Diceros bicornis minor: one gene and its partners. The protein of the gene in region 3 purifies or fractionates together with the protein of the main gene of each other region. This does not show direct contact. Links are inferred from orthologs where the notes say so. Each region holds a gene or a part of one and is shown on either strand. Other genes may lie near its edges. The genes, in order: TARBP2, GEMIN4, AGO2 and TNRC6C.

Region 1 (6,916 bases), on a different chromosome or scaffold from region 3:
GTGGGAGAGGGGCTGTATATCCAGTCCCTGAAGCACCTGGTGGGACTCACACACAGGACCATCATGTGGCCAGCTCAGAAGAAAATGGGGCCTGCAAGACCTTTAAACATGGTCAAACATCATCCACATGGCTATTTAAAAGTCATCAATTACTTCCTGTCCCAAGAGCTTACCAGCTGGTGCAAATTCTTCAAACTCTGGTCCCCAGCTAGTCCATCCCCTGTTTACTCTCAGACTTCCTCATGCCTGACCTGCCTGGGTCCAAGGACTGGGGGCCAGGGGCCAGGAGCCAGGAGCCAGGAGCCCTTCCTCCCCGCCTCAGGCAGTCAGGAAACACAAGATACCTGGTTGGGACAGCAGACGGAACAGGAGTAGCAGCTGCTGCAGCCGTTAAAACCGGAACGTCCTCAGGCAGTGAAGAGTCTAGGGGAGAAAAAGAACTTCCCGAGGGGAAGGGGGCCTTTGATTCACACCCATGAGGAGGGGGCACAAGGGGCAGGGCTCCCAGGTCCTCCTGACCTGCCCATCCCCTAAGAAAATTCCTTCCCACTCGAGCCAAAGAGCCAGGGAAGTTCAACCACCAGTTCTTGCTCCTGGGATCCTTTGCTGCCAACACCAGATCAAAGAGACTGAGAAACAGGGGGAGGAGGGTCTCTTCCTACCCAAGAACCATGGGAGCAACAAACTCCCGACCTGAGTGTGGAAGAGGGAGGGACAGCTTGCTAAGAAAGAGGAGGCATGTTGAGCAGCAACTCCTTCCAGCCTCAGCCTCCGCCCCTCTCCCTCCCTAGCCTGGGCCCCAAACCACAGCCATGACCCCTCGGTGGGGCTGGCCATTCCCCCCAGAACCCTTCACAGCAACAGGAGCCCTGGAAGCATCCTGCTCGGTTCCAGAGGAAACTCGCAGGAAAAGGCCAGGTCAAGGTGGCTAAGTGTCACCAGGCCAGGCCTATCGGGCGGAGGGGCTGGCGCAGGGGCCTGGGCTCCTGGCAGGGCCTCTAGGATGCCTCGGCTCCTCCTCCCTCACCTGCTGTCCTCCAGGGCCGGCTCCAGCATGCTCCCTCCTTTGAGGTGTTTGAGGGCCACCTCAGCTGCCTTGTGCTTGGCTGCCTTCTTGCTGGGGCCCTGACCTGAGAGAGGGGGTGTGGGCAATACTGGAGGTCACTGGAACGATGGAAGAGAAACCAGCATCCCACAGCCTCTCTCTTCACAGCCAGAGGGAGTCAACCAAGCCCCCTCTCACCAACCTCCCCCTGTCCAAGACTGGAAGGAAAGGCCCTTATCTTTCCATGAGCTCCCCAAATCAAGCCATGCCAGGCAGAACTGCTCCTGAACTCAGACACCGTGGGTGGAGATTCTTTCTCTGTCTCACTTTCCTCTGGCCAGCACTTTCTTTCCTCTCAATAAATAGAGATGGCTGGAAAAGTAGAAAAAGCAGGCTCTACAGTCAAAGCCTGGCTCTGCCACTTACTAGGCATGTGACCTTGCACCAGTCAATGAATCTCTCTGAACCTCAGTTTCCTCACATTCAACATGAGGATACTACCCCTACCTCACTGGATTAGACTGAGGTCTAAGATTTAAGAGGAATTTGAAACAGAGCACCTGGAACAGAGAGCACAGCGGGCACTCACGTCCCCAAACACTTTGCTGAGATGTCAGTTTATCTCCTCTTACTTTTTCCTCTAGGATGATGACGATCCACCAGACCACTGTGGCAGTCCTGCTTGCTTCTCTAACTCTCCCAAGTCCTACCCACCTCCTAACAGACCTGTTCTCCCAATCCACTCAGTGGCTTTTCCCCTGAAATCTCTCCTTCCCTCACTGGCCTTGGAGAAGTGGACTGTGAAGAGACTCCCAGAAATAAAGCCAACGGGGCCCTGTGAATGCACACCCCAGCCAGGTTGCCCAAGCCTTCCTCACCAGTGCAGCTGGTGTCGCCAACGGTGACCCGGAAGGTGAAATTAGGCTGGTGGGCTTGGCCCTCGGCTTTGAGAAGGTCGTACACGGGCGTCTTCCCTATTCTGGTCCCATACTCCTGCAGAAGGCTGATCGGGGTCTTGCCCGGGTTGGCTGCCAGCATTTGCTCTATACTGGGGGGAGGGGCACAGACCGTCATCACACCTCTCCTCTCTGCACCCACCTGGCCAAGCACTGCCACATCAGACCCAGGCACATTATGGGGGACACAGGGTCCAGGGGACCCCAGGCAATACAGCAGCCATTGGCTGGGTTCAGTGTGGAGCAGAGGTGCAGGCTGGGAAAGCAGAGCCCACTGCCCCAGGGCAAGCGGGAACGCACTGTTCCTGTCTCAGTTAAGGCGGGGATCCTGTGCCCCAGTGCAGGGTGAAAGTGCATGTCCCCTGACACAGTGCAGGCCAGGAACCCAGTACCCACCAAATGCACTGAATGTCGGGGGCATAAAGCCCTGTGGCCCCAGTACAGTCTGGGAACCGGGCCAACCCCAAACTATTTAGAGCTGGAGGCAGTGACCACAGCCGGGATGCATGCCGGGAACCACGGCCCACTACCCCAGTGCTTGCCGGGAACAACCCTCAGGCCAGGTGCATGCTGGGGCCGCGCCGCTACCCCCTCCGCACCGCACCACGCTCCCAGCCCTACAGGGATCGGTATGAGGCGGCTCACCTGGGCAGCCCGCAGCCCGTGGTAGTGCCGGAGCCGTGCTCCTCTTCACTCATTCCCTCCTCCGTCCCCGCGGGCGCCACCGTGACTGCAGCCTTCACGCGCCCCGATACACCGCCGACGAGCTAGGGCCGGGGCCAAGCCCGGAGTCGCGGCCGGTCGGGCCCGCCGCGAGGCATGCTGGGATATGGAGTCCCCCGCCCACCCGACTCCATGAGTCTCCATCAGGAGGGACGCTATCCGCCCCACAACCCTCCGCGTGGTTCGCCCTAGCAGGCAGCACCGCCTTCTGGGAGGAGCGGACCCTTCCACTGTCGCTTCCCGAGCTGAGGGTGGTTTTTTGTTGGCTTTTTTTTTCTTTTCATATCGTCCCGCCTCCTGCCTTTCGTGTCTCTTCTCCCCTGGACGGGGGCTTTGGGCATGCGTACTAGCGGAGTGGAAGCGGCCGGGGGCGGGGCGGTAAGGGCTAACTCGAGCCCCAGGGCCTTCGAATCCCGAGAAAACTACAGAACCCAAGAGCTCGCGCGCCATCTTTGTCGCAGCTGGAGGGGCAGGGTCAAGCATGCACGAGAAGCTTCACAGCGTGATTGGTTATTCCGATTGCGCTTGCTTGTTCTAGGTGGATTGCGATTCGTTACCTCACCTAGGGGCGAGGGGACAATGGAGAGTCAGCCCCCTTGGCTCCGCCTCTTTTTTGAGAAAAGGTTGTGATTGGTCCAGGGACCAGGCTGCTGTCGGTTCCTGGCTCCTCCAGTCTGGGAGGGTGGGCCTTAACTGGACGCTGGAGGGGATTGTTCTCTGCCCCTCAGAGCGGTAGGGCACTTGTACCTTCAAGTCCGTCTCAGTTCCCGCTCAGCCTTCGGCCTAAGCGCCTGACCCCGGGCCTTAGTCTTACAGAACCTGCTTCCTTTTCCTAGGTTGTCCTTCACCTCCCTTCTCCTTAATTCTGCCCCGCAGCCTCTGGGGTTTCCGATTCTTTTCTAAAGCCTAGTGAACTTTTCTGTAGCTGGCCAGGAGACCCCCTCTGGGAGCTGAGAATTGGGCTGTAGTGGGACGACAGGGTTAGAAGGACTAAGGGACGTGGTGGTCTCATTCCTTCTGCCGTGGGTCTTGGGTCTCTCAGTTAAAGAGAGAGTTCTGTTCTTTTAAGACTAATCGACTAATCTGAGTGCAGAGCAGAACGCGTATTTTTGGATCCCAGAGCTCCAGTCCCTCCTCGCCAAAGTCTCACAGCCACTGGGCTGAAAGATGTAGGGAAAATCTTGTGACCTTGGAAAGAGAGAGATCATGAAAAATGTCTGATTCTAATGAGTGTTCCGAGAGTGGGTCAGGGAAGAGATGGCTTGCTCTGAGGCGGGGGGTGGAGGTCCAGAGGAATCTTGGGATGATAACGAGGGGTCATCCAAGAACATTGGAGGGCGACGGGGTATTGAGCTGAGTGGATCCCAACTGGATGGAACTGGAGTGGTAACAATTAGAGGAAAGAAAGCTGGCAACGTCGGTATGACGGGGGAACAATGCTAGAGCGCTGGGGGTTCCCATCTGAGGGGCTGCTGTCTCAGGGTAAAGAAGGGAGTTTATAAGACCGGTCATAGGGGGCTCCTATGGAATCAGCATAAGGCCTGAGGTGGGACTGCCATAGGACACCGCCAGCAGGGCGGTGAGAGACCCAGACGGGCGAGGGACGAGCCTGGAGCGCGCCGGATGGCAGCAGCGGGCTCCTTTAAGAGGCCGGCGGCTCCAGCGCAGCATCCCCCGCTCAGGGCGTGTCCGTCCCGGGGGGCCAGGGGCGGGGGCCTTGGAAGGAGCGGGAGTTCAAGCCGAGTGAGGACGGGGCTAGGGGTCGGGGGGTGGGGGGAGAAAGCTGGGGCTGACACCCGTGCGCCCGGACACCGCGCGAGCATCGCCCGTGACAGCGCCCCGGGTCCGGTCGAGGGCAGCGGGGGGAGGAGGAAAGGAGGAGGAGAAGGAGGAGGAGGCGGGAGCAGCATCCGGAGCCGAGCTGCAGCAGCGCCGCCTTTTGTGCTGCGGCCGCGGAGCCCCCGAGGTGAGAGCCGGGCCGAGTTGGGGGGGGTGGGGGGCAGGGATGGGTCCGGGTCCTGGGATCCGGGTGCGGAGGGAGGGTCGGGATGCAGATGTGGCAGGGTGAGGGAGCGTGGCGCGGGGATGCTGAGGCTGTGGGGATAGAGGAACTGGGGACCTGGACCCGACGTCTGTGGGGATGGGAAGGAGGGGAACGGAGCCTAGGGACGCCGCGGCCCAGCTTGGAGGCGAAGGGCCTCCAGAGCTGGGAAGGACTGTATGGGGTGGGGGTTGGGGGGTGATTGGGGGACAGACCTAAAGGACAGCGGGCAAGAGAACACCCTCCTCTCCTCCCACTCATCCTCAAGAAGGGGGAGAGGGAAGGAGGAGGAAGAGTTTTGGCCCCTGAGGGAAGGAAAGGAAGGACAAGGCCTGATGTGTGCACCGTTCCCCTCAACCTGCCCCCCCCACACACACACACTCCCCTGAGGATTATAGGCCTAGAGCACCTGTTCTGGGATATCCAGGTGATGGTCCCCCCCTTCCCGCTGTGATGCCCCCAATCCTCTCCAGCTGTGGCATTCACCTTCTCCATCCAGCTGTTGCATCCCCCACCTCCACCATTCATATGTGGTTTTCTCCCCCTCTCTCTCTCCATCTCCTCTGGCTCCCCTAACCCATTTCCCCAGGCCAGGCCTTTCCTGGACCTCCTCCCTTTTCCCCACATACTCCTCAAACTCCTTGGCTTAAAAATAAGTTAAGAATCCTATCCCTAGAGTTAAGTCTCCTGTTAAGCATGGCCTTGGCTCAGGGGAGGGAAGAGAAGGGATCAGAGGCTCTATAGACAGTAGAAGGAAAGAGTGGGGTGTCTCTTAGAACTGAGGGAGGAGTCCTGACTTTTAGCTCCGTGCCGCGCTCCCTCTTGGTAGGAGTTAGTGAGTGGCCCTCAACCAAAGCAAGTGCACATGAGGAGGTCTCTCCCCGCCCGGAGTCCTTCTGTGCCACAGTCAGTGCCTTCCTCTAAACACCATTTCCCTTCCAACTCACAGGATGGACTCCATGGCTCTGGGCGCCCTGATTTTCAGCCAGAGGGTCACACCAAGGGAAGGCGAGCAGAGGGGATACAGGAAGGGAAGGCCCCAAGTGCGCCCCAGGCCCTCCTGTTCAGACACTGAAGTTCCTCTGAGCTGTAGGGCCTGCTTTCTCCTGTCTCACACTTACGGGTGGGCAAGAATGTCTGCCCTCTCAAGCCTGCCACTCATCTCTTCACTCACAGTGGGACTGGGGTGATGCTGGGAAGACCAACAGTGTGATACCCCAACTCCAGCACACAGGAAAATGCACAAGTAAATATCCATCCCCTAATAAAACCCAGTTATGGGCAGAGGAGGCAAGAAGTTTAAAGAAGGAAGTGGCTCAGGACTTCCTGGGTGTCCTTCCAGCTGAGGATGGCAAAGCCCCTCTAAAAACCAACTGCTCTTTTCCAGTTCTTCCCTTGGCGGTGATGATGTGGGAGTCTGGCTTTGCCAGAAAGAGCTCCCTAAATTCTAGTACCCGCTGGCCTGGACTGTTCTAATACCTACTGCCCTGCCTGGGCTGGGGAGAAAGAAGGGATTAGGGAATCAACCCTTCAGGAGTCCCTGCTGGGCAGAAGGAGGAGAGTGTGGAGATGATGCCAGCAGCGGACAGAGGGGCTTCATGAGGGCTAGCCACAGAGCCTGGTCTGTCTGCTTCATTGGCTCCCAGCAGGACTAGGGTCACGTGTGTGTGTTGGGGGAAGGTGACGAGGAGGCAGGGACACTACAGAGGAGAGTAAGGACCATCGGGGATAAAGAGCCCTTGCCCTCTGGCTCCTTCCTTCTTTGTTCTCCTTTTTATCCCTCGTGTTGTCTACCTCCCTTTCCACCTGTACCCTCCCTACTGCCTCTTGCTTTGCAGAGGAGGAAAAAGGAAAGAGGGATGGGAGTCACACTTATAAAAAACCTGCTACTGCTTGTTAGAAACTGTCCACATGGCTGATGTTTATAGGGAGCTTCCTGGGGGCCAACTCCTGGGCCGAGAACTTAATCTGGATTATCTCAGTAATGCTCCTAACAAGACAAGAGTTACGTAGTGTTGTCATCATCTCTATTTTAGGGATGAGGAAACTGAAACTTAAAGAACTTAAGTAATCTGTTCAAAGTCAAAAAATCAGTATGTGGTGAGAGTTTAAGATTTGAACCCAGGCCTGTCTGACCCGGAGCCTGTGTCT
Region 2 (7,030 bases), on a different chromosome or scaffold from region 3:
TTTTTTTTTTAATGTATCTTACAGTTGCTTTCTGCAGTCCTAATTATGGTCCACTTTATCAGGTTTTATAATGATTTACAGAATGATGTGGCTATACCTACAGCTCCTAAATTGACGCCATATTTTGGAGCAAGATGTTCCATTATTATTTTTACTATTAATTCACATTTAATATTAATCATGGTCCTAAAAGCATCAAAATGTGTTCATAACATCCTCCAAAGAAAAGAAAACAGCACAATTATTGTACAGTGTGGATCATGCCCAGTTTATAGTTATAAGGAATATTTTTTTAGTCACTGGTGTCCTGGGTATACTTCATTCTTAAGTAATGTACTTAGTTTATAGCAGCTTCCTGCAAATGTGTGAACAGAAGATCTGAAGAGATCTGGTGAGATTTGGTTTCTTTGTCCTCCGAAGTCTTTATGGTTTTTGCTTCTATTGTTTAATGGTTTTTCATGAACTGGAGCTGCCCTGATAGCTATGAAAATAGGTTTTTTTTTTTTTTTATGAGGAAGATTGGCCCTGAGCTAACATCCATTGCCAATCTTCCTCTTTTTGCTTAAGGAAGATTGTCCCTGAGCTAACATCTGTGCCAGTCTTCCTCTATTTTTTGTATGTGAGACGCTGCCATAGCATGGCTTGATGAGCGATGTGTTGGTCCGTGCCCGGGATCCGAACCCATGAACCCCAGGCCACCAAAGTGGAACACATTAACTTAGCCACTGTGCCACTGGGCTGGCCCTGAAAATAGTTTTTAGTTGAGGAAAAGTATTAGGAAATTCTATGCCATGGCAGATGTTTTTCCCTGAAATGTCTTGAATATCATTTAGTACTCCATATCCCAGTGCACCACTGTGCATTGATGCCTCCGTGATAAGGAGTGGAAGCTGAGCTCAGGTACTTTGGCCCTTGCATAGGTCATGGGGTGTGTTGTGCTCATAAAACAAAACCCATATACATATATATACGTGTTGTCCCACAAACATCCCCAAGCAGAAACCAGGCTTAGCTACAGGGTAGTCCCAAGAAACTTTTGTCTGCGTGGCCTCAGATGAGTCTTTCAGAGGCTGGGATTTTGAAACCATCTGCTCCAGTCTTTCTCAGCTTCTGTGTTGTGGTGCATCAGTTACTTCACTTAAAGTTTGACTCCCCTCAAAACAGTAACTTAGGGCCGGCCCGGTGGCTTAGCGGTTAAGTGCGCACGCTCCGCTACTGGCGGCCCGGGTTTGGATCCCGGCCACGCACCGATGCACCGCTTCTCCGGCCATGCTGAGGCCGCGTCCCACGTGCAGCAACTAGAAGGATGTGCAACTGTGACATACAACTATCTACTGGGGCTTTGGGGAAGAAAAAAACGAGGAGGATTGGCAATAGATGTTAGCTCAGGGCCGGTCTTCCTCAGCAAAAAGAGGAGGATTAGCATGGATGTTAGCTCAGGGCTGATCTCCCTCACAAAAAAAAAACATTAACTTCATCAGGACTGTATTCTAGTAGGGGCTTTTGGTAATAGAACTTGACTTGAGCTTTTTGGAAGACAAAGCTCCTTTCCCCTCTGTAACGGTGGGTTAGTAGTGAATCCATAACCCCTGAAGAGATTAGGGGCCTCGGCCTCCTCTCCTCCCTTCCCCTCCCGCAGAGGCTGAGCCTCTGGAGAATGGCTCACTGACCTCAAATCTTGGGCATTTTTATAGCATGATTCTCCCCCCCAGTCCTCTACTCCTGCCAGATGTCTACATATGCTCTGGGAATAGAAAGACTGGGAACTCTTTACTCAGAATCATACACAAAGCCAGTTTTGATGGAACTTTTCCCAGAGAAGAGATGCTTTTTATATATTGTGGACACCTACCTAGGACTCTCACAGTCACCGATACCAGCTCAAGACAAGGTTGACATAAGGGAAGCCATATTGTAGAAAAGAAACCCTGTTGTAACTTTTTTTTTTCATATTATTTATTTATTTTCCCCCCAAAGCCCCAGTAGATAGTTGTACATCACAGTTGCACATCCTTCCAGCTGCTGTATGTGGGACGCGGCCCCAGCACGGCCGGAGAAGCAGTGCGTCGGTGCACGCCCGGGATCCGAACCCGGGCCGCCAGCAGCGGAGGGCGCGCACTCAACCGCTAAGCCACGGGGCCGGCCCTCCCTGTTGTAACTTTTAATGGCCTCTGACTAGCCCAACTGGATATGCACCCTCCAGGAGATGTAACCGCTCTGTAGATTTTACAACTCCTGCTTGTGCATGTACCTCCCAGCTGTGATGAGATGATAACTTTGTTCTTTTGAGTTCCTTAGGAATGTGATGACCCCCTTACAGACAGTCTATGCTGATAGCCATCATCAATGAAACTGAAAGATCTGGTGTGGCGACTCCCAGTCTGAGGGTTGACATTCCTAACCCCCTCCCCTATACCCCACCGGCCTATATAACTGCTGTAAGATTTTGTGCCCCCTTAAGATGGTTCTTTGAGACATTAGTCAGCCATCTTCCCCCTTGCTAACAAGATGTGATAAACTGCCCTTTCTTTTCCACCATCTTGCCTCTTGATGATTGGCTTTTGTCTTGCAGCAAGCAGATCCTGCCCTTTGTGCTGTAACTTGACTTTGAGTTTATCACTTTTCCAACAGCAGACAATCACTCCCATGCAGTTTAAGTGATTTATTGATGTCTCAGCTATGGTTGTTATGGTTTCAGGACATTTCAGCCATCAAGGTCTTTTAAGAAGCCCTTTTCCCTACCAGAGGCGCCGTGCTACTTCGGTCTGACTGACACTCTGTCCTCCTTAACCAGTATCGTTTTTCTTCAGCTCTTCCACTTTTGCAACATAGATCCTTATGGCGTCCATCTTGGACATCCCTTTGTTCTGGTTCCATGCCTCCCACTTGGCCTTGGCTTTCACGTCTGTGGTGGGCGGGGCAGGGATGTTGCAGTCGCCCTGGGTGGCCTGTTTGTAGAAGCTGTACACCAACAGTTTCTCTTGATCACTCACAGGTCCCTTCAACTGCTTGATAGCAGCACAGGCCATCTCAAACTCCACCTGGCACATTGCAGGAGCTGAGGCGGCGCCCCTCTGTCCTTTCTAGGTGGTATCTGGCGCTAGAAGCTGGAGGGGAGAGAGTTAAAAACGCTTGAGGCTGGTAGTTAAGTCTGGAAAGAAGGGAAAGGGAGAAAAGGAAACAGGGTAACGTGTGAGAAGCCCATAGGATATTTGTGTGTGTGTTTTCTCAGAAATCAAATGTGTGTTTTTATAAAGTACAGATTGCAAACTGGAGTCCATTGGACTGGATCTGCCCCCACAGTTGTTCTTGCTCGAATTTTCTGGGGAGGACAACCATTAACATTTCAAAGGAGTCTATGATGCCAGAAAAGAAGGAGCTGCTGCTGCTGTCTGAAGGCCGAGCACTGGGGCGATTGTGGGCTGTGGGGCTAGGCGGCTCCGAGCCGGAGATGGGCAGACCCGCTGCGGGGGGCGAAGCCTCTCAGAGCATGGCGCGTCTATGCTGGTTGGGAGGCAGCCTGGGGAGAGGCATTCCGTCTGGGTGAACTGTGTGCGGGGGGATCCCGGGGATTACCGAGTCGGGGAGGATGCGGGGCCAGGGACGGAGCTAAAGGGTAGGATCGACCGGGACTCGAGAAGCAGGGCTAGGCAAGGGACTGGACAGATGCGTGGCTGAGCGGAGCACTGAAAGCAAGGCGGCCGGGCCTGGTGGCCTGGGTCGGGGCCAGACGTTTTGGGGGCGGGCAGGGACCGGGTAGAGGGAAGGGCGGGCCCGCCGCGGTGGCAGAGAGGCGCAGGCACCTGCCTGTCGGCTGGTTGGAGGCTTCGGGCCGATAGGGGGCGCTGCGGGCCCGGCGGCCTCGAGGCCGCGGGCTCGTTGGTAGGACCGCGCGTGCGCGCCGAGCGGCGGCAGGACTGTGCGGACCGCGCGGAGCCCGAGCTGAGACTGGGGGCGGTGCCTGAGGCGCGGCCTATTGTCCCGCCCCCCCGCTGCCCATTGTGCCGTGGCGCCTGCGCCGCGCTCGCGGCCTTGGGGGGAGGGGCGCCCCGCGCTGCCGCTAGCGTCGCCGCCATGGACCTAGGTGGGTGTCCCGGCTGCCCGGTCCCGGGCCCGCCTGGGCCGCGTCCCGCGACGGGCGGCCGGGGCGGTGCTGAGCGGGCCCGGGCCAAGGGGGACCTCCTGGTCGGGGGGATGTTGGGGATGGGTGTCCTCGAAGAGCGGGGGTCGGGAGGCCGGGCTCTAGCCCGGGCCCCGCCGCTGCTTGGCCGGCCCCTCGCCCTCCGGGCCCCTTTCCACGCGAAAGGCCAAGCGGATGTGTAGTTAGATTTCCTGAAAGTGGACCGGACTCGAGGGCGCCCCGGGGAATCCCGGATGCCCTGGCGGTCTCATTTATTGAACGTCTACTGTGTGCTTCAGCAAGTGTCTTAGGCTCATGAGGCCCTCACTGATAAAACGTGGATGATGATAATGTAACCGCCTCACGGAGTTGAGGGGTTTTCGTGGAGATCACGTGTATACAGCGTCTGGGACGGCGCCTTGCGCGGAGCTAGCGATCATCAGACCAGCAGTTGTGGGGAGGGGTTGCAGCAGCCGTCGGGCACGTGCATCTTGACTCAGAATCCTCAGGCAAGGTCTAGGAGAAGGGAGCGGGGCGCTGGTATAAATCGGTGGCTCTTTGCCCAGCTTCCCACCCTGCTGGACAAGCTCTTAAGGGGATAAGACAGGCGGCTGTTCTGGGAGAGCTGGGGGAGGTACCCCAAGATGCGCCAGTAATAGTAGGCTGTGGAGAAGTGTTCCGGTCCCTGTCCCCAGACAGCTCTTCAGTGGTGGGACGGTAGAGCTGCAAGAGTCCTGCAGCTGTGGTGATTTCTGTCCCAGACCTACCGTTTTTAGTTGCGACATCCTGAGCAAATTGTTTCTGAGTCTCAGCGTTTCCATCTCTAAAACAGGAATAGTCCTCAAAAGGTTGATTTGAGGATTAGGAGAGATCTTACATGCATACCACCTAGCACAGTGCCTGGCATGGAGTAACCACTTAATAAACATGATCAGTGGGCACTCACAAGCACCGGTTAACCAGCAGTGATAAAACACTTGGGATCTGCCCAGGGATAAACTGCTTCTGGGACTTATTCCTTCAAGTAGCACGTGTATGTACTTATGGATTATGTCTCTGGAAGCTAGGTGTTGGGGGAAACATCTCAGTTGAGCTGATAATGCAATAAAGTTAAATTTACAGAGTCATAAGGGAACATATATGAGGGCCCTGGGAGAGCAGCCTGAGTAAGAAAGAAGGGCCAGAGCCCCTCAGCAACCTACCCCTCCCTGGGAGTCTGCTTTGGCCACTGGGAGCCAAGGTGGATTGCTTTCACTAGTGGTTGCATAGGAGGGCTGATCCCTTGGCCTTTTGCTGCTCCTGTAAATGGTCAAAGGGGTGGGATATTCTGTAGTCTCCTGGAATCTGGATTTTTTCTCGCCTCCTGGGGTGTGAAAATGGGGAAGATGTATTCTTGGAGGCATGAGGGAGTGAGGAAGGGGTGGCATCTCTGGGTCCTGGGAACGGGGGTGGGGGGATGGGGATGAAAAGTTAAGAATACTGAATAGTGAGCTGGCCTGGTGGCACAAGGGGTTAAGTGAGCGCGCTCCCCTGCCGCGGCCCGGGGTTCGCCGGTTTGAACCCCGGTCGCACACCAATGCACCGCTTGGCAAGCCGTGCTATGGCGGCGTCCCATATAAAGTGGAGGAAGATGGGCATGGATGTTAGCCCAGGGCCAGTCTTCCTCAGCAAAAAGAGGAGGATTGGCAGATGTTAGCTCAGGGCCAATCTTCCTCACAAAAAAATAAAAATAAAAAAAAATACTGGATAGTGAGCAGTGTTTGTGCTCTGATTTGGTTTCTGGGCCAACGTAAACAAACCTGAGAAAGACCTGTGTCCTTTTTTGTTTCTGAGCTGGGGGAGGCAAAAGATAGTGACAAGATTCTGGTCCTGCCAACAATAGAAAGGTTTGGGGAAAGCAATGTTTTTTGAGCACCTAATTGGGCTCTTTGTAGCCTGACTCTTATCATAGTTATAGCTTATTTAACCCTTGGCAGACCTGGCAGATGGGATTGGGAGCTAACAGTGAGCACCAACCCACTGCCACGGGTTTGACTAGTATAGAGCATTTGATCTTCACAGTCATAATATGAAGTCTGTATTATCCCCACATGCAGAAGGGAAGCTCAGAGAAGTCATCTGTCCAAGGTCACACTGCTTTTAAATGGCTGAGCTAGGATTTAAAACCATGTCTCATTAAACATCCCAAGATGCCTTCCTTGATAAGTCTGTGTCGATTCATGGCTCACTGAAGGAAGGACTTTTCTTTCTTAATCTAGTGCAGTATTTTTTTTTGTATCTACCTCTTGGTTTCTACCAGAGAACCAGGGCCATGAGTAGCTTGTTCTCTTTGATGGAAAGAGCCGTGGGGTGAACTGTTTCCATGAAAGGCAGAACGTTTGAAATCTGTTTGCAAGACAAGGCTATAAGAGAAAAGTGCTTGTCTGATTGCTTCCGTGCCTCTCCTAGTCTGTATCCTTACTTAGAAGCTCACTTGTCACGTCCTGCAGTATGTACTTGGTGGCCCCTGCGGTTGGGTATTGTCTTTGTGCTATTCTCCTCTCTCTCTCACTCAGCCCTTCCTCCCCAGAGCCTCTGCTGATCCATCCTTTGCTGGAGGGCCTAGCCTCAGAGGTGGAGCTTTTCCTTTTCACTTGCTTTTCCTGCAGGATCTCTCTCACTTCCTTGGTTCCAGTGATCCCCTCTGGGCAGACACCTCTCTGAGTCACATTTCAGGGCTGACTTTCCTCATGAGTGTCAACCCCACATTTCCATTGCTGGAGGACGTCTCTACCTTAATGTTCTACCCCAGACTCCAAATAACCAAATCTAAACAGTGTTCCCTCCAAACCTGTTCTGATTCTCCTGCATTCCCTATTTCCAGTGGTACCTGTTGTCTTCCCAGTTCCAGGCTAGAGAACTGGGGAGTCC
Region 3 (7,723 bases):
TATTCTGCTTCGTAAAACCATACAGGTTTTAGGAGTCAAAGCTTTGACATCGTTTTTTCTTACACGCTTATTTAAATCGTTCTTCATTTATAACAGATCCAAGAGGACTCTGCCCAACTCCCCAGCCATGCCTTCCGGCAGCAGGCAGCAGCTTCACCAGGGGCATCTGCTGCAGCGAAGGTGCACCATTATCAGGGGCCCCCATCATATCTCCACTGAGATAAAGGGGGGTGGGGTGAGAAGTTGGTTGTGGGAGGAGTTAAATGGCACTAGAAGGGACAGCGAAAGTCCATTACTCTCAAAGTCACAACCCTGTTTAGACAACTCTCAAACAAGACTTAGATGTTAACAGAAGTTAACTACAGAAGTTACTTTGTAGCAAATCTGTCAAGGGTGTAACACACAGGAATTTGAACACAGTAAAATGAAAAGAAACAATCTGCTTGGAGTAGGCTATTGCTCAGACACAGTTTAAGATCTCTAAGTGGTTTAAAAAGAACTAATGTTCATCTATGAAGGTTCAGGGTCACTGAGAGTCTACCCATCCTAAACCACTAACTCCTTGGAACAGTTCAAAAAACTAAGAAACAGTAACATACCTAACTTTAGAATCCAGATATTAATTCACATCCATAATAGCATCTGTAATGGGAATATCACAGACCTATTGTCAACTCTATTTTTTAAATTAATTTACTTAGTAATTTGCTTAATAAGTGTATTAAAATTGGAAGTAGCAAAACTACTTGTAATTTCCCTACAATCCAGATTGAATGTCTTTTCATTATTCTAAATTAGGAAATATAAGATTAAGAAGACTTTCGTTGAAGAGATTCTATTCCAAAAATTCCTTTTCAACAAAATTAAAAGCCTCAGTGTGTAGAATAAAATTGAACTGTACCACAGCCTTATAACTACAGCACACTTGTACAGCCCGAAATTTGGGTTCATTCCCATCCTGCCATTAGCTAAGAACTATCCTACAGACCTATTTATTTTTTCAACCCAAGCTGTCGGACTCCAGGGCTAGTTCATCTGTGAATCGTGGGGCCCCACCACAATGCAGAGACCGGCACCAGAGCAAGATTCTTCCAAAAGCTGTTAGGGACCAGAAATGAGCCTGGAGATCCAAAGGCTTGAGGCATTTTTAAAAAATGAAACAGACGAGAAAATATGCCCACAAGGAGCACACAGTAAGCTAAGTGTGCTTCCTGAAGCTCGTTTCCATTATTCCTGAGCGAACGGGTGCAGTCCAGATGTAACAGGTATTTCCTACTGTGGGTCAAGGTCAAAAGGAGTGACAGCCACTTCTCTAAGGAGAGTGTAGAAAAAGGCAGCTTGGGATCAGACAGATCGTCCTAATGCTCACTGGACATATGACCTTGGCAAGGTTGTTAACCTCTCTGAGCCTCTGTTGGCTCTACTCACTCAACTAGGTGAGGGACTACCCTGCCATTTCACGGGTGGGGTCGCTGCCAGCCCACAGTCTCAAGAAGCCAAATCTGCCCCCAGGACTGTGACAACAGAGCCCAGGGCCCTTCCCCACCAAGGCTGAGTCACCTCTCAGGTGTAGGGTTAAAACCATTCTTCAGTCAAATTGCTGAGAGCCCTTAAAAGTTGATCAGGTTCAGCCTGGGAGCAGCTTTCTACGTAACATCGGAAACAAGACACTCAGAACTCACAAGGCATAGAGCTGTTTGTGAACAGACACAGCGCGGGACAACGTCAAGGCCCCCGAGTGGATCAGGAAGGGCTTCCAGACTCCCAGTTTGGAGCAGGTCCCACCAGGGCCCCATCAGCAGGAGGCCCCGGAGGGCCGGGAACCTGAATGCACCTAGCACGGGGCCAGGACCAAGCCGGGAGCACGGCGGGGCCTGCAGCCTGCTCGAGCTGGCGGACAAAGAGGCGATGCCCCGTCCAAGTGGCAGGGCTAGCCGGGAAATTTAGGAGCCACGTGCCTGGCGGGATAGGGGGGAAAAAGCTTTACAACACTTGACCATTCTCTTGGTCCAGCAAGTCAACCGCCCTTCCACTCTACATTAAGGGAAAAAAAAGTGTTACTGCTTTAAGTTTTTAGAACTTTTCCAAAGAGAGAGAGGCTGACTAGTAAGAAGGGGTGCTAAGGAGATCCACACATCTCCTTACCTTCTTCTAGTAAATTGTAAAAAGCAATTAGCACTTGAATAAGGAGCCGGCGTGTCTGGAATGAAAATGAGATGCACGCACTTTCAGGGTTTTAGGGTGCCGCTTCCTGTCCCTCAGTCTACAGTCCTAACTACCAAGAGGAATTGGCCAAAATTCAGCATTTCCAGACTTTCCTTCAGAAAAGGGGCCGCAGAAGTGCTGGCAAAAAGAAAAACGAAACTGAGTGCGCTCCAGGCTCGCCGCGGCTCGGTCTGGCGCCGGAGCCGCGCGTCCCTCGCCCGCCGCCCGCACCCCGAGCTCGGCGCCCCGACCGGGACTGACCCCCGCGGGCGCTCACGGCCCGGGCCCCGCCGTCCCGCCGTCCCGCCGTCCCGCCGCGCGCAGCGGGGCCCGCGCTCCGGGCGCAGGAGGCGGCGGCCGCGGCCGGCAGGCGGGCGCGCGGGCCTCGGGCCTACACGCGGGCGGCCCGGAGCGGCCCCCGCCCGGGAGCCCGACGCGCGGACGGACACGGGGGCGCGGGAAGGGCCCAGGCCGCGCGGGGACCCCGACGACTGGAGCCCGAGGAGGCCGGGCTGCGCGGCGGCGGGGCCGAGGAACGGCCGGCGGCTCCGGCCCCAGCGCCCCCCGGGCCGCCGCCGGCCCCCGCCGGCGCGCCCCCGGCCCCGGCCCCCGCCCGCCCCCCGGCCCGCCGCCCCGGCCCCCGCCCGCGCCGCGCTCGCGCCCGGCCCGCCAACCGCCGCCGGCGCCGCGGGGAGCGCGCGGACTCACCGGGGCCGGCTCCCGAGTACATGGTGGCGCCGCCGAGGGGCTCCGCGGCGAGGGGCGGCCGCGCGCTCCACGGGCCCCGACGCCGCGAGCCGCGAGGGAGCCGCCGGCCGCACGATCCGCCCCGGCGCGGCCGCCTCGCCAAACAGGTCTGCCCGACACGGCCGGGGCGGCGGGCGGAGGCGGCGGCGGGGGAGGGGCGAGGGAGGAGGACGGAGACGGGGAGGAGGGAGGGGCCACGGGAGGGGGAGGAGGAGGGGGACGAGGAGGGGGACGAGGAGGAGGGAGGGGCGACGGGGAAGGACGCGGGAGGGGGAGGAAAGAGGGGAGGGGGGCGAGAAGGGAGGGGGCGAGAAGGGAGGGGGAGAGCGAGCGGAGGTGGGAGGGGGTGCACGGCGCGGGCGGGGCGGGGCCGGGGCGGGGGCGCGGGAGCTGGGGGCGGGCCCGGACGGGGACTGGGCGGCGCGGGCCGGTGTGGCGCGGAGGCCCCGCCGCGGGGGCGGGCGCGGGGCGGGGGGACCCCGCGCAGCCACTCGGAGGAGCGACGTCTCCTCGGCTGGGCGGAGCGGGCCAGCGCGGCTGTGCTACCCGAGACCGGGAAGAAAGAAAGGAAAACACACCCCCGTTTCCCCCGCGTCTCCGGCGCGCTTGGGGAGCGCGTTCTGGCTGCTCGCGCGGTGGGTGGTGGGGTGCACGACCCTTCGCCACCTTCACCCCCACCCGCCCGGGGGAACTGGGGCACAGTGTTGGCCTGGCCTTGGAGTCCGCGTCCTGGCGCCCCAGCATCTCAGCCGAGCTTTTTTTTTAAGTTATTAACGAAACATGAACGTCGGGAAGCTTCCTCCCGACCCGGAGCTTGAACTTGAACGCTCCCCGGCCCTTGCATACTACCACAGCGCCACCTCCCGGCCAAGAACCCAGATAATCCATGTAAAAATAGTATTACGTTTTTGGTAGATTTCAGCTGCTATCAATGGTGAGCTCAAACTAAAACTCCCTCTTCCGGCGCTCAGGGGCCTCCCCACATTCTTTCCCTGGGGCCCTTAGCGGACCCCATCACGCTCCTCTGCATTTCTGTTCTCTCCCCACGTGTGCCAGAACGTTCTCCCCTCTACCCAAATCCTCCTCCATCCTTCAAGTCTCCCTCCACAGGTTTTTGGAGCCTTTTCCAGGGAAACCAGCCAAGGATTACCTCCTTTCTCCCCTAATTAGTGGGTGATTAGAAGTCAGAGGGTGAAATAAAATCCAAAGTTGGTCATCATCTTTTTAACATACTTGCCTGCTCATTCCTAAATCCTATAAACATGTATTATCTGCATATTGGGTGCAAGGGACTGTGTGTTCCTCAGGCCTAGAGTCATACAAAGATGAACAGGAGTCCTGTCTGCAAAGAACTTAGCATCCAATAGGTTTATTACTTGTTCTTTGCAATCCTCGAGGACATCCCTAAATAAGTGCAGGAAAAGCAGCCTTTCCTCCAGAGAGGAACTTGCAAGGATATCCATCTTCACCAAATCATTGATGTGAACGGGATTCCATCCCATGGCATCGCCTCCAGGAAGCCCATCCATCCTCTCTAATTATCTGCCCACCACCTCCTGGACCGCCTGAAAAGCCCCTTACTGCTCTGCACCCACCAGTCATCTGTGAACACAAATCTGATGTTGTTCCTGCTCTGCTGGGAACCCTTTGTTGACTCCCCATTTCCATCTGCATGTGGTCCAAAATCTTTAATTTGGTTTACAGTGCCCTGTGTGACACAGCCCCTACCTGCTTTACCAGAATCTTCCACTTCACCTTCTTCTTCAGATCCACATCCTCACTTTCTCAAGAGTGTTACTGTGGGAGTGTGAATTAGTACAACCATATTGGAAAAAGAAGTTTGGCAGTGTCTGTAAAAGCTAACCACACGTGGCCCTAGGGAGATAGGCTGCTGAAATGTGGGTTTAGAAGCACAGCAAGCCCGGAGAGGAATGCACACTAGCACAGACCTGGGTACCACCAAAATATCCATCGGCCATTGAGTAAGTAATAAGAGCGATATATATTCATGAAGTGGGATCTAGTGATGAAAATGAACACTCTTCAGCCAAGTGCAACAATATGGATGAACCTCAACAATGTTGCGTGGAAGAATCCATCAGCCATACTGCATGATTCCGCTTACAAAAGTTCCAAAACAGGCAAAATTGAACTACGTTGTTTAGGGACACATAATTAAGTAGCAAAAAGCTAAAGAAAAGCAAAAAGGTAGTTTCCCATAAGAGAATGATGGCTACTGCTGGTGGCGGGCAGTTGCTGTGACCAGAGAGGTGGGAGGCCCTTTGGGGTGCAGGCTCCTCCCTGTAATACTGCTGTTCATTTTGCACATCTCTTAAGCTGTACATATTTTATATACTTTTCTGTACCTTTGCTACGTTTCACAATAAAGAAATTTAAAAATAATAATCATGAATGTTATTAGTCTCTTATTTATGAGCCACGTGACTGCCAAGGGCCCACTCTCTGTCTGCCTCTGTCTCCCTCACACATCACCATCCTGTTTTCTGCCCGAAATCACTGAACCACTCAGAGGCTGTTTGCTACTGTAATCTCTAGCCTCAGAAAACGCCCAGAAGGCTCTGTAATTGTGTCCCTCCAGCTCCGCCTTCTGCTTTTTTGAGCACACACACTGGGTAACTTTGTTGCAAGGGTTCCTTTGCAGAAGGTCGAACAAGATAATGTCTCCTCAGCGCCTGATTGTGTGGCTTCTCCGCGGAGACGGAACATTCGAGGCCCCCTGCTGGTGAAGCAGCGCCCTCGCTGCCTGCACCGGCCACCTCCAGGCCTCCCCGGAAGCCCAAGCAGTGTCTGAGTTGGAGTTCTCCCTCCCCCGCCACTAGCAGCAGGGTTCTCCTTTGTCCTTTTCTAGATAAGTCCACCTCTCCCAGACATCCCCTTCTACTGCTGGTGTTGAGGAACCCCGCCCCCTTTCTGCAGCGCTCCTCCTCCCACCCACCCCCAAGCTTCAGGGCCACAATGCCAAACCCAGTTCATCTTTTCTCACCTCCTCCCAGTCTGCCCTTTCCCTGTGTTCCCGAGCATGGCCAACAGATTCACCATCCACCAAAGAAACCCCAGGCCCCTCTGCCTTCTGCCTCTCCCGAAATCGCTGACTCAACTTAACCCATTTAACGGGGTCCACTCAATTCTCGCTGTGAAATGTCTCTAGAACCCTCTCCAACCCATTGCTGCTCTGCTCCTCCAGGCCTTCATCCAGCACTTGCATGTCAACCACATAGGGCCGACTCTGAGGCCAGTCTTTCTCCCAGATACAATTCATTGCTTTGTATTTGGGGATCCCTATGCTCTGATAAGACTGCAGGAAAGTAATCAGAGCCAGAGACCCCAACACTGGTCAGCCCCAGGTTTGCACATTGGGTGCACCCAGTCCAGAGCAGAAATGCCATAGGAAAGGCAAAAGCTGTCACCTTTGGGGTCCCTTAGTTTCTTCAAGACTTAAATGTGGGCACCGGAATAAAACAGTTGATCCAAAAACATGTTCTACATGTGATAAAAGAGGGGTTAGGAGGTCAACCAAATTGGGAAGCATTGAGTGCAACAACACTAAACAGATTTATTGGCTGCAGACCTTCTCAGAGCCTTTAACAAAGTATTAAGAATCATGATTCTACAAACAGGAAGGAGGGGAATAGATGGTATGCAGTCTGTCCCAACCCACTTGGCCACAGAACCCTTTAATCACAGGGTACCTTCAGGTTCCAGGGAACACACTTTTGGGAAACACTGAGGTAGAGCTCTTCTATGATGCCTTCCAGTAATAATGTTCTAAGATTCTTTGAATAAAAGTATTGGCTGTTTTTCTGAATTAAAAACTCAAGAGCATGGCTGTGAATTGACAAATACTTCTGTCATAGTAGGAACAAAATACACATCTAAGCAATTTCTACACACTGAACCCAACATTAAATGGAAACCACTTAATTTGAATACATAAATCACTTTGTCATTTTGTGCACCCAACAGAGGCTAAATCAAGAACTCTGAAAATGCAAGCAATCAGAGCCACCTCCTTGCACAACCCCAGGAGGCCACTGACACAACAGTGCTGCAGAGGGTGTCATTTACTGGCATACAGAAGTGCAAAAGGGGGCTGCACCTAATGTATATGCAGGAGACACCATTTACTCTAGGATATCTTCTTTCCTCCATATAGCAAGGAAGGAACAGCCAAGATGTCGCTAACATAAAGACACTGAAAAATGAACTCAGAATGGATGACAGATTTCAATGTAAACATAAAACTATAAAACTGTTTTTTAAGATACATTTTATTTAGTTTTTTTTTTTTTTTGTGAGGAAGATCAGCCCTGAGCTAACATCCATGCCAATCCTCCTCTTTTTGCTGAGGAAGACCAGCTCTGAGCTAACATCTATTGCCAATCCTCCTCCTTTTTTCCCCCAAAGCCCCAGTAGATAGTTGTATGTCATAGCTGCACTTCCTTCTAGTTGCTGTATGTGGGACGCGGCCTCAGCATGGCCGCAGAAGCAGTGCGTGGGTGTGCGCCCAGGATCCAAACCCGGGCCGCCAGCAGGGGAGCGCGAACACTTAACCGCCAAGCCATGGGGCCGGCCCTAAAACTATAAAACTTTTAAAAAACAGATAGGAGAGGGGCCAGCCCCGTGGCTTAGCAGTTAAGTGCTCGCGCTCCGCTGCTGGCAGCCCCGGTTCGGCTCCCGTACTCCTAGGCATTTCTCCCAGAGAAATGATGACTCGTGCTTATACATAAACCTGTACATGAATATTTATAGC
Region 4 (7,929 bases), on a different chromosome or scaffold from region 3:
GCTCACCATCCATCCACCTCTCACTGGGCAAGAAAAGCGGGCATCATCCTTTACCATCTTCCTTACTCACCATATGTATCAGCCCCAAGTCCCTGGAAGTTCCCTGGAGTTAAAATTACCTGTCAAACGTATCTTTTCTCTTTCACCTCTGTCGCCACTCTGGTTGCCTCCACAGGCTCTAATTTCCTGGCTGCAGGACTTGGCAGGCCTCCACCCTGTGCCATCACCTCCTGCCCCAGCTTCCCTGTCTTAACCTCCTTCTCGTCATCCACCACAATGTTTCCACAGAGATCTCTCGGACAGCCAAGCGCAATGTTTAGGGTCGTTCAGGGGCTCTTCATTGCCTTCAGGGTAAAGACCAAACTCCTTCATGTGTCATGAGATGCTCTTTATCATCTGGCCCCTGCTCATCTCTCCTGCTTCCTTTCCCTCCCTTCTCCTTATACATGAGCTGTTCCAACCCCATTGATACTTTGCAGCCCCCTGGAAGTGCCACACTGCTCTTGTATATTTCTTTTACACTGGCTGCTCCCTCTGTCTTCAATGCCCTTCCATCAGCTTCTGACCATTGCTCCCCTTGCATCCTTCAAGACTCAGATCAGAGGTCCCTCCAGAATGACCTGGGTCTCTCCTCCTGCCCTCTTCAGCACCTTGCATGTATTATAATCATAAGTCAACCATGGCTTTCAGCTTAAATCCCCAGCACCTAGTCCACTGCCTGGGACATAATACAAGTTCAATAATTGTTCAATGAGAATCTCTAACTCAGTGAGGAGTAGCGAGGAGATGTCTGAGGCCCAGAAAATTGCCTAAGGTCAAACAACCAGTGAGCTGCGGATTTGAGATTCAGCCTTGCTCTGATTTGAAGATTCTTCCCTCTATTCCAGTATTTTCCTCAGTGTAGTGGGAGGACAATTGCACCAGAATCACTTGGGGGAATGGTTAAATATGCTGCTTCACAGGCCCCATGCTGGACCTAGATGAATCTGTATTTTAAACAAGCTACCTTGGTGATTCTTATGAACAGAGTTTGAGAGCCAACATCCTATGCCTTGCTGCCTGTTTGAAAGGCCTTTTAAGTTTATCACATTTTTCAAGGCCAAGTCAGTTGCCATTTACTGGTGACAAACAGGGAGAACTGAACCCCACCTCCACTACATTTTCACTGAAAAGCAATAATTTATTTGAGTCCTGAAGCTTTTCCCTTTAAGAGTCCTCCATTGATGCCAATTCTACTTATAGAACCAAGAGATTGAAGAACAGAACAAGGGACTTCAGGAGGAAGCAAAGCAGCCCTGTGCCGTGGGAAGTGGCTGGGAGTGGAAAGGAGCAAGTATCATGCACAAATAGAACTCTAAGAAAAGCTGCCCTTTATCACTTGTTTTATTCACAAATTTTAGCGTGTGTCAGAATCACCTGGAAGGCTTGTTAAGACACTGATACCTAGGCCCTATCCCCCAAGTTTCTGATTCAGCAGATCTGGCAGTTGGGTCCAAGAAGCTGCATTTCTAACAGGCTCCCAGGTGATGCTGATGCTGCTGGTCCAGGGAGCACACTTGGAGAACCGCTGAGCTAATTCAACCTTCGTGCCCAATGCAGTAATCTATTCTACAGTATCCATGGAGATAGGGATATGATTGCCCTGTCTTTCTGCTTAAACCAGATGTGGATCTTGTAACATTACAAGCAGGAGTTTCTATGGACAACCTTCATAATTCTTCCTTGAATGAAATAAAAATTTGTCTCCAAACCCTCCACCCATTGATCCCAGGTCTGCCTTCTAGGTTCTTGCAGAATACACTGTGCCTATTTCTACATGGGAGTTCTTTAAATATTTGAAGACAGCCATCCTGTCTCTTCTTCCCTATACCAGCCTCTTCTGCTCCTGCAGCCATTGCTCAATGACTGGAGGATTTCCATCAGCAACCCGCTGTTCCCCTGAGACAGTCTTTAAGTTTGCCGATTTCTTTCTTACACCATAGAGCCCAGAACTGGTCTTACTATCCTGTGTGGGATCTGACCAGCTCAGAGTGCAGTGTTTGGAACTGAACACTATCTTAATGTAGATTGTATACTTTTTTAACAAACAATTTCTCACATTTAGCCATGTTGAGCATGTGGTCGCCCAAAACTAGAATTTTTTCACATGAGCTGGTGTACAGGTAGGTCTTCATCTGTTCTTAACTAGTTGACTTTTCAAAAAAAAATTATTTTATTGAGGTCACATTGGTTTATAACATTGTGCAATTTCAGGTGTACACTATTATATATCAGTCTCTGTATAGACTGCATTGTGCTTACCCCAAATAGTCTAGTTTTTATCCATCACCATACATATGTGCCCCTTTACCCTTTCGCCCTCCCTGCTGCAACTAGTTGACTTTTTAACTTAACTACATTTAACGTTTAATCCTCTTACATATAATTCTGTCGGTTTTGCCCATTTTTATAAATTATTAACTCAGACCTTAGTTATGAGGTGGTAGTGGCAAGGCTGATAAGAGGATGACAGACCCCAAAAATGCACTTACCCACTTTACAGCTTTGCTTGGGGGTCTTTGCTTACACTCCATTCAGTCAAAACAGCCACTAATAAGCGACACTGTGTTCTGCAGTGTCCACACTCATGGCCATCATATGCCTCAATGTTGCTGGATCAACTCTAATTTCAAATATTCTTTCTACTGTCCACATGCCAAACCATGAGTCTAATTTTTGGCTCAGAAAATATGGCCAATATAAGCACTACCTTTTCCCCAGGTATTTACAGTCTAAAATAACAGAAGGAGACAATTATTTTGCCTGGTTTAAGCTGAGGGAGGGGGATACTAAAAAGTACAAGATAAAGAAAAGTTGAGAGGTTACAGTCACAAATTCAACATCAAGGACAAATATTAACTAATGTAATTTTGGTTCAATTTTCCAAAAGTGAAGTTCTGCTTATTACAATGATTGCCCACGCAGGTACCCGGGTTCTTCACAGATTTAGCAATCTACCTAGTGGATGCTACATATTTTGAAAATATTATTTTGCACTCCCTCCTGGAGAATGTCTCTTTGAGAAATAATAAAATATGCAGGTTTCTCCTCAGTGAAGAATTAATGTAAATAAAACGTTGAATGGAAAAGGCAGAATCCTCTATGTCAGCTCCGTCTGACTTCAGACCCTTCTAAGTGATGTGGGTTTTCGGGAGGAGAAATACACAACACAGACAGACATGTGAAGGCGGCTATAGAGAGTGGTTTGTGAATCTGACTGCCGAAAGCTTAAAATATGACAGTAAGAAAAAAGCAGTGCACCGAGCTCATGGGACCCTGAAGGGAAACGAGCGCGAAGAATTTGTTGTGTCTCTTTCATCCACAGACGTTTCAAAGCATGACCCTTGCGGTAACAAAACTGCATTGCGAAAGCAGCGTGTCATTATGTGCTCTTCAAGATGGGGACACGTAGACAGGGAATGGCCTCCTCCAGCACGAACAACTTTCAAGGAGCCCCGCTGAGCATCCACTGCACGAAGGGGAAAGCTGGCCTGCTTCCATGACCCTTCATGAAAATGGAGACAATTCTTGGTTTCAAAATCTTCTCATGACTCGAACCAAAAGTTAAAAAGGGACTTTTAAATTGCACATCGCTCCTGACCTTATCTACGATTAATGTCTAATGTCTACAGAAGAGGAGCGGCGGAATGGAGGACCACGACGGGTTACCGAGCGCCGGGAAGGAACCGTGGAGTGTGCAGCCGGAGCGCCCGGTTCGGCCCGGACAGCCGTTTGCGCGGTGGGGGCAGTGCCGGTGTTCCAGGGGAGAGGGATGTCTCCCCGGGGGCTGTTGCGCAGCTAGGCTTGTTTGGCTCGCAGCAGGGCGCTCCCCGGGGAGCGGCTGCGCGCAGGGGCGGGCTGGGAGGCGCGCTGCGAGCAGGATGCTCCCGGGCCAGGCCGGCGCGTGTACGTGTGTGTGCACGGTGGGGAGGTGCAAGGCGTGTGCACGGCACGGGCGCGACGCGCGCCAGTGCGGGCGCTGGGCGCCGCTGCATAGAGGGCCAGCGCCACCGGCGGAAAATACCGCGCAAAACCCGGGCCCGGGAGCCGCGAGGCGCTGGCCGGGGGAACCGAGCGGACGCACTGGGCCGGGTCCGCGCCCCGCCGTCCAGCGTACTAACGCGGAGGCACAGCACCCAAAGACTGGGAAGGACGCCGCGGGGGTCGCCACGCACCTCAAGCTGAGTGCGAGTCACCGAGACTAGCGCACGCGCACTCTCACCCCGGCGCGCTCCCCACACGGTCTGGGAAACCGAGGCGCGACCGGGTATTAAGGGGTAAGGAGAGGGCGTGGCCTACCGAGACGAGCCAATGGGCCGGGGAGGGGCGCGCGGGGGCGGAGCACGAGTGCAGAGCGCCGATTGGCTAGTTGGCCCTCCGGTATGCAGATACAGTGGAGTCACGTGCCGGGGGCCGGGACGACTTCCTGTTGGAGGCCAACGCGGGGCGGGGAAGGGGGCGCGAGCGCCCGGTCTGGCTGGAGCGGGGGGAGGGGGGGTTCTTGTCAGTTAGAGCAACAAGATGGCCGCGGTGGCAGCTCCGCACCTCAGCGCGACGGCCCCGGGAGCCGCAGCCGCCGCCGCCGGCCCCGCCGCCCCGCAGCGCTGAGCGCTGCCCCGGCCGCCCCCGCCGCCCCTGACAGGGCCGTCCCTGCGGCCGCCGCGCTCCTGCCGCCGCCACCGCGGGCCCGCCCGAGCCGGAGGCGGAGGGAGCGCAGCCGGCCGAGCGCCGAGCGCCGCCGCCGCCTCCTCGGATCCCGGGCCGCGTCGGAGCTGCAGTCCCGCCCGCGGGCGCGAGGAGCAGGGCGCGTCGCGGCGTCGCCGGGGCCGGACCTGGACCTGCCGGGACGCGCCGCCGCCCACCCGCTCGCGCCGCCGCCGCCGCCGCCGCCGCCCGCGCCGGGACCTGAGCCCGCGGCGCCGGCGCTGAGCGGGCCCCCGCCGCCCGAGCGCCCCGCAGGCCCCGGGGCGGCCGCTCGAGTGGTCCTCGCCGCCGCCAGGCCAGCGCCGCCGGAGCCCCGCCGAGGAGCCGCCGCCGCCGGGGACGGAGCCCAGGTGAGCGCGGGCCGGGCCTCGAGCCGCCGCGGCTGGCCGAGCTGGCGGCGTCGCCTTTGTTCGGCCGGGCTCGGAGCGGAGGGTCGCGGTCCCGGCGGGAAGGGGTGCGCGGCGCGGGGCGGCGGGAGGAGCTGCCGCGGCGCGGCGCGGGGCCGGGGCGTGCGTGCGTGCGCGCGGGGTGAGGCTGGCGGGGCCCGGTGTGCGGGGCGCCCGCGTGATCGGCACGGGTGTGCGGCAGCATCAGCTGTGTGTGTGGTGTTCTGGTTCTTACACTGGTGCGCTCGGTGGAATCAGGTTCTCCCCAAACAGGCACCGCGGATTTTGTGTTTCTGATGGCATGCACGAACCGAAGTGTTTTCGGGGTAGGGCCTCCCGTGCTGTTGTCTGGGGGAAGAGCAAGCCCCTGGCGTGCTCTGGAGGAGTGTTGGGGGCCCCGTGGCCCCCTGCGGGTTTGGAATCAGGTGGGCTGCTCCCGGTGTTGCAGGCTGCGGAGCGATGCGCACGAGGAAAGGGAGCCGCACCGCAGCCGTCCTGCGATCAGATCACGTAACCCGAGCGTCTCGGTGCCACCTTTGCTGGAGCGACGCCTCTTTCGCACCTTTATCTTGGGGATGAGATTTGGTTCACTGATTCGTAGCTATTAAAATGTGCACATGCTAATAGTGGGGTTCCCTGCCGGTTGACCTGGCGGAGAACCCATTGGCTTGCAGGTTCTACGGAGATTTGGGAATCTCACCGAAGATGCAGGATCGCTGTCTCGATGCCACGGGGCGGGGGAGGAGGAGCTGCAGATCCTGGCTGCACATATTGCGTTTTAAGGCACTCGACGGTATCCCTGATTCTGTACGAAATGAGTGGAATTGTCTCGAACCTTTGCCTCTGTCAAATGAAACCTCCATTTGAGTGGTCTGCTCGGTTGTATCTAGGCGTGAACTACGGATTCTGAACTCAAAATGGTGCTCTGTGGATGTCCAACTTGAGCGTCTTTAAGGAGTTGCAAGTTAGAGGCGTCTGACTGGTTTAATCCATTGTGTTGCTGAGGTTCGGGTTTTCTCCTCTATCCGGTATTCTCGTCGCTGTGCTGCGGCCGGTATAGGTGGTCAGTTAATGATGAGCACTGTGTGGAGGCTGCTAGGTCTCTGAGCATAACTTGACTCTGCAGAAGGCTTATTTTATGCAAGTTATTTCCTACATTTAGAATTAACTATGGGGATGAGTCGAGACACTGGAAATGTGGCTTGAGTGATCTCAGAGGACAGTGGTGGCCAGTTTGAAACGTGTAGGGGGTGCTGACAATTATGTGCATTGATTCCAAACCTCCTTCGGTGCTGTGTGAAAGAATAAAGGATAAAACTTAGCAGATGGACTTGGTTGGCAGAGGGCACCTTGAAGAAATTTACATTATTCCATAACCGCAGAGGTGGTGAAGGTCTTCGAACACCTTTCAGTATGACACCCCTAGGATGCTTTGTTGGGGAAAGTGATGCGAAACGAGGTTTTAAAAATGACTAGCCCAATTATATTGTCCGAGTTAATTTTATTGTTGGTGTTCACAGAGATGATGATAATCTGGATAGTTGTTGCTTTGTTTACCTGTACTGAAAGGTTTTTTTCTCCTCTGTAGAAAGTTTTTAATATTTCTATTTTCATAAGAATAGACATTCTTAGAACCTGATTTTGTTTCACATGTTGGATCTTGAGAAATTGATAGCCTAGAAAATGATAATGGTAAAATTATTGGTTAAGTTATACTTACAGTGACACATAATAATTTCTTCAAACTAGCACTTCCTCAAGCAGCAGAATGGATCTGTGGGTCCCAGATATTATATATATATGTATATTCAGACTTGATTTTATTATGAGGATCTAGTTTTAGAAGTCTGATTCTAAGTCTTCCATGCTTCTTGTTTAAATCAAAGACCTTATTGACCATACCTCTGTTTTACTATTAAGGTATGAAATTATTTAGGTTACCACTGAAGCTGGCATAAGACTGAATCCTATTTCATTTTTGATTGTGGCATTTAAATATTTTAGTAGCAACGTGGGATACATGTAAAGGTTGATTTTAGGTTTTCCTCCTTTCAGTGTTTATTATTGTTCTTTTTCAAGTGGCATATGTTTTAACACTTTGACACAGATTATTGTGTAACAGATTTATATTTATACTTAGTTGGCTCAGAAATCTTAGAACAAATAGTTGCATTAGAGTGCTGAATAATTATGGTGGAAAGTGGGGTGAACTGTTTCATTTGGCTCTCAATGATTAACATATAACTAAGTCATGAGGGGAATATAGGAAACTTTAAATCACAGTATTTCTCACCACCACCACCTTTTTGTTAAACAGCTGGCTTTACTGAGATAAATTTGTGCTTTTCCAAATGCTGTCATCTGGCTCACTTCCAAAACCAAGCTGGAGGAGGAGGAGGTCAGGGCTGGAGTGGGGCAGCCTTTTTCCTTAGTGAGGAGAGCTTTCAGTGAGTTGGAAAGAAATGGAAGATAAAATTCCTACAGTACTGGCTGAGAATGGGGTATTTGCATTACTTCCCCAACTCCAAGTGAGGGCAACGAGGTCCTGAATGTAAACTTACTCTTGCTTGACTCAAGCAAGTGATGCTAATTTTAAATTTAAAAAAAGATTACTAGCGGAAATTAGTTTATTTCTCCATTATTTGATTTGAGTATATAGAATGTCTTTGGCATCGTATAACTTCTCTAACAACTTAACATTTTAAGGCTTAAGAGCCATTTTAAAGACTCTTTATGGGTCTTTTTGGCCTTCCCCAGGAGGAATTAGATCCATGAGATTGCATGCTTATGTTTTAGATGA

The links.
Region 1: the proteins of AGO2 (region 3) and TARBP2 purify together in Homo sapiens (co-immunoprecipitation; 10 studies listed by BioGRID and IntAct, with this or other methods). This does not show direct contact. The link is inferred for Diceros bicornis minor from reciprocal best matches to the Homo sapiens genes AGO2 and TARBP2.
Region 2: the proteins of AGO2 (region 3) and GEMIN4 purify together in Homo sapiens (affinity purification with western blotting; 4 studies listed by BioGRID and IntAct, with this or other methods). This does not show direct contact. The link is inferred for Diceros bicornis minor from reciprocal best matches to the Homo sapiens genes AGO2 and GEMIN4.
Region 4: the proteins of AGO2 (region 3) and TNRC6C purify together in Homo sapiens (co-immunoprecipitation; 6 studies listed by BioGRID and IntAct, with this or other methods). This does not show direct contact. The link is inferred for Diceros bicornis minor from reciprocal best matches to the Homo sapiens genes AGO2 and TNRC6C.

Annotation. Positions count from the first base shown.
Region 1 is NC_080756.1:16,798,029-16,804,944, forward strand, and holds the start of TARBP2 (RISC-loading complex subunit TARBP2), read right to left. Parts: upstream 3,002-6,916; 5' UTR 2,700-3,001; coding exon 2,647-2,699; intron 2,617-2,646; exon of another isoform or gene 2,398-2,616; intron 2,094-2,397; coding exon 1,924-2,093; intron 1,131-1,923; coding exon 1,028-1,130; intron 441-1,027; coding exon 345-440; intron 1-344. UniProt on the Homo sapiens protein: Required for formation of the RNA induced silencing complex (RISC). Component of the RISC loading complex (RLC), also known as the micro-RNA (miRNA) loading complex (miRLC), which is composed of DICER1, AGO2 and TARBP2.
Region 2 is NC_080757.1:16,808,161-16,815,190, reverse strand, and holds the start of GEMIN4 (gem-associated protein 4), read left to right. Parts: upstream 1-4,030; 5' UTR 4,031-4,074; coding exon 4,075-4,084; intron 4,085-7,030. Other genes in the region: diazepam-binding inhibitor-like 5, read right to left, coding at 2,787-3,050. UniProt on the Homo sapiens protein: The SMN complex catalyzes the assembly of small nuclear ribonucleoproteins (snRNPs), the building blocks of the spliceosome, and thereby plays an important role in the splicing of cellular pre-mRNAs.
Region 3 is NC_080760.1:53,395,563-53,403,285, forward strand, and holds the start of AGO2 (protein argonaute-2), read right to left. Parts: upstream 3,001-7,723; 5' UTR 2,936-3,000; coding exon 2,914-2,935; intron 1-2,913.
Region 4 is NC_080757.1:57,902,231-57,910,159, forward strand, and holds the start of TNRC6C (trinucleotide repeat-containing gene 6C protein), read left to right. Parts: upstream 1-4,916; 5' UTR 4,917-5,093; intron 5,094-7,929. UniProt on the Homo sapiens protein: Plays a role in RNA-mediated gene silencing by micro-RNAs (miRNAs). Required for miRNA-dependent translational repression of complementary mRNAs by argonaute family proteins.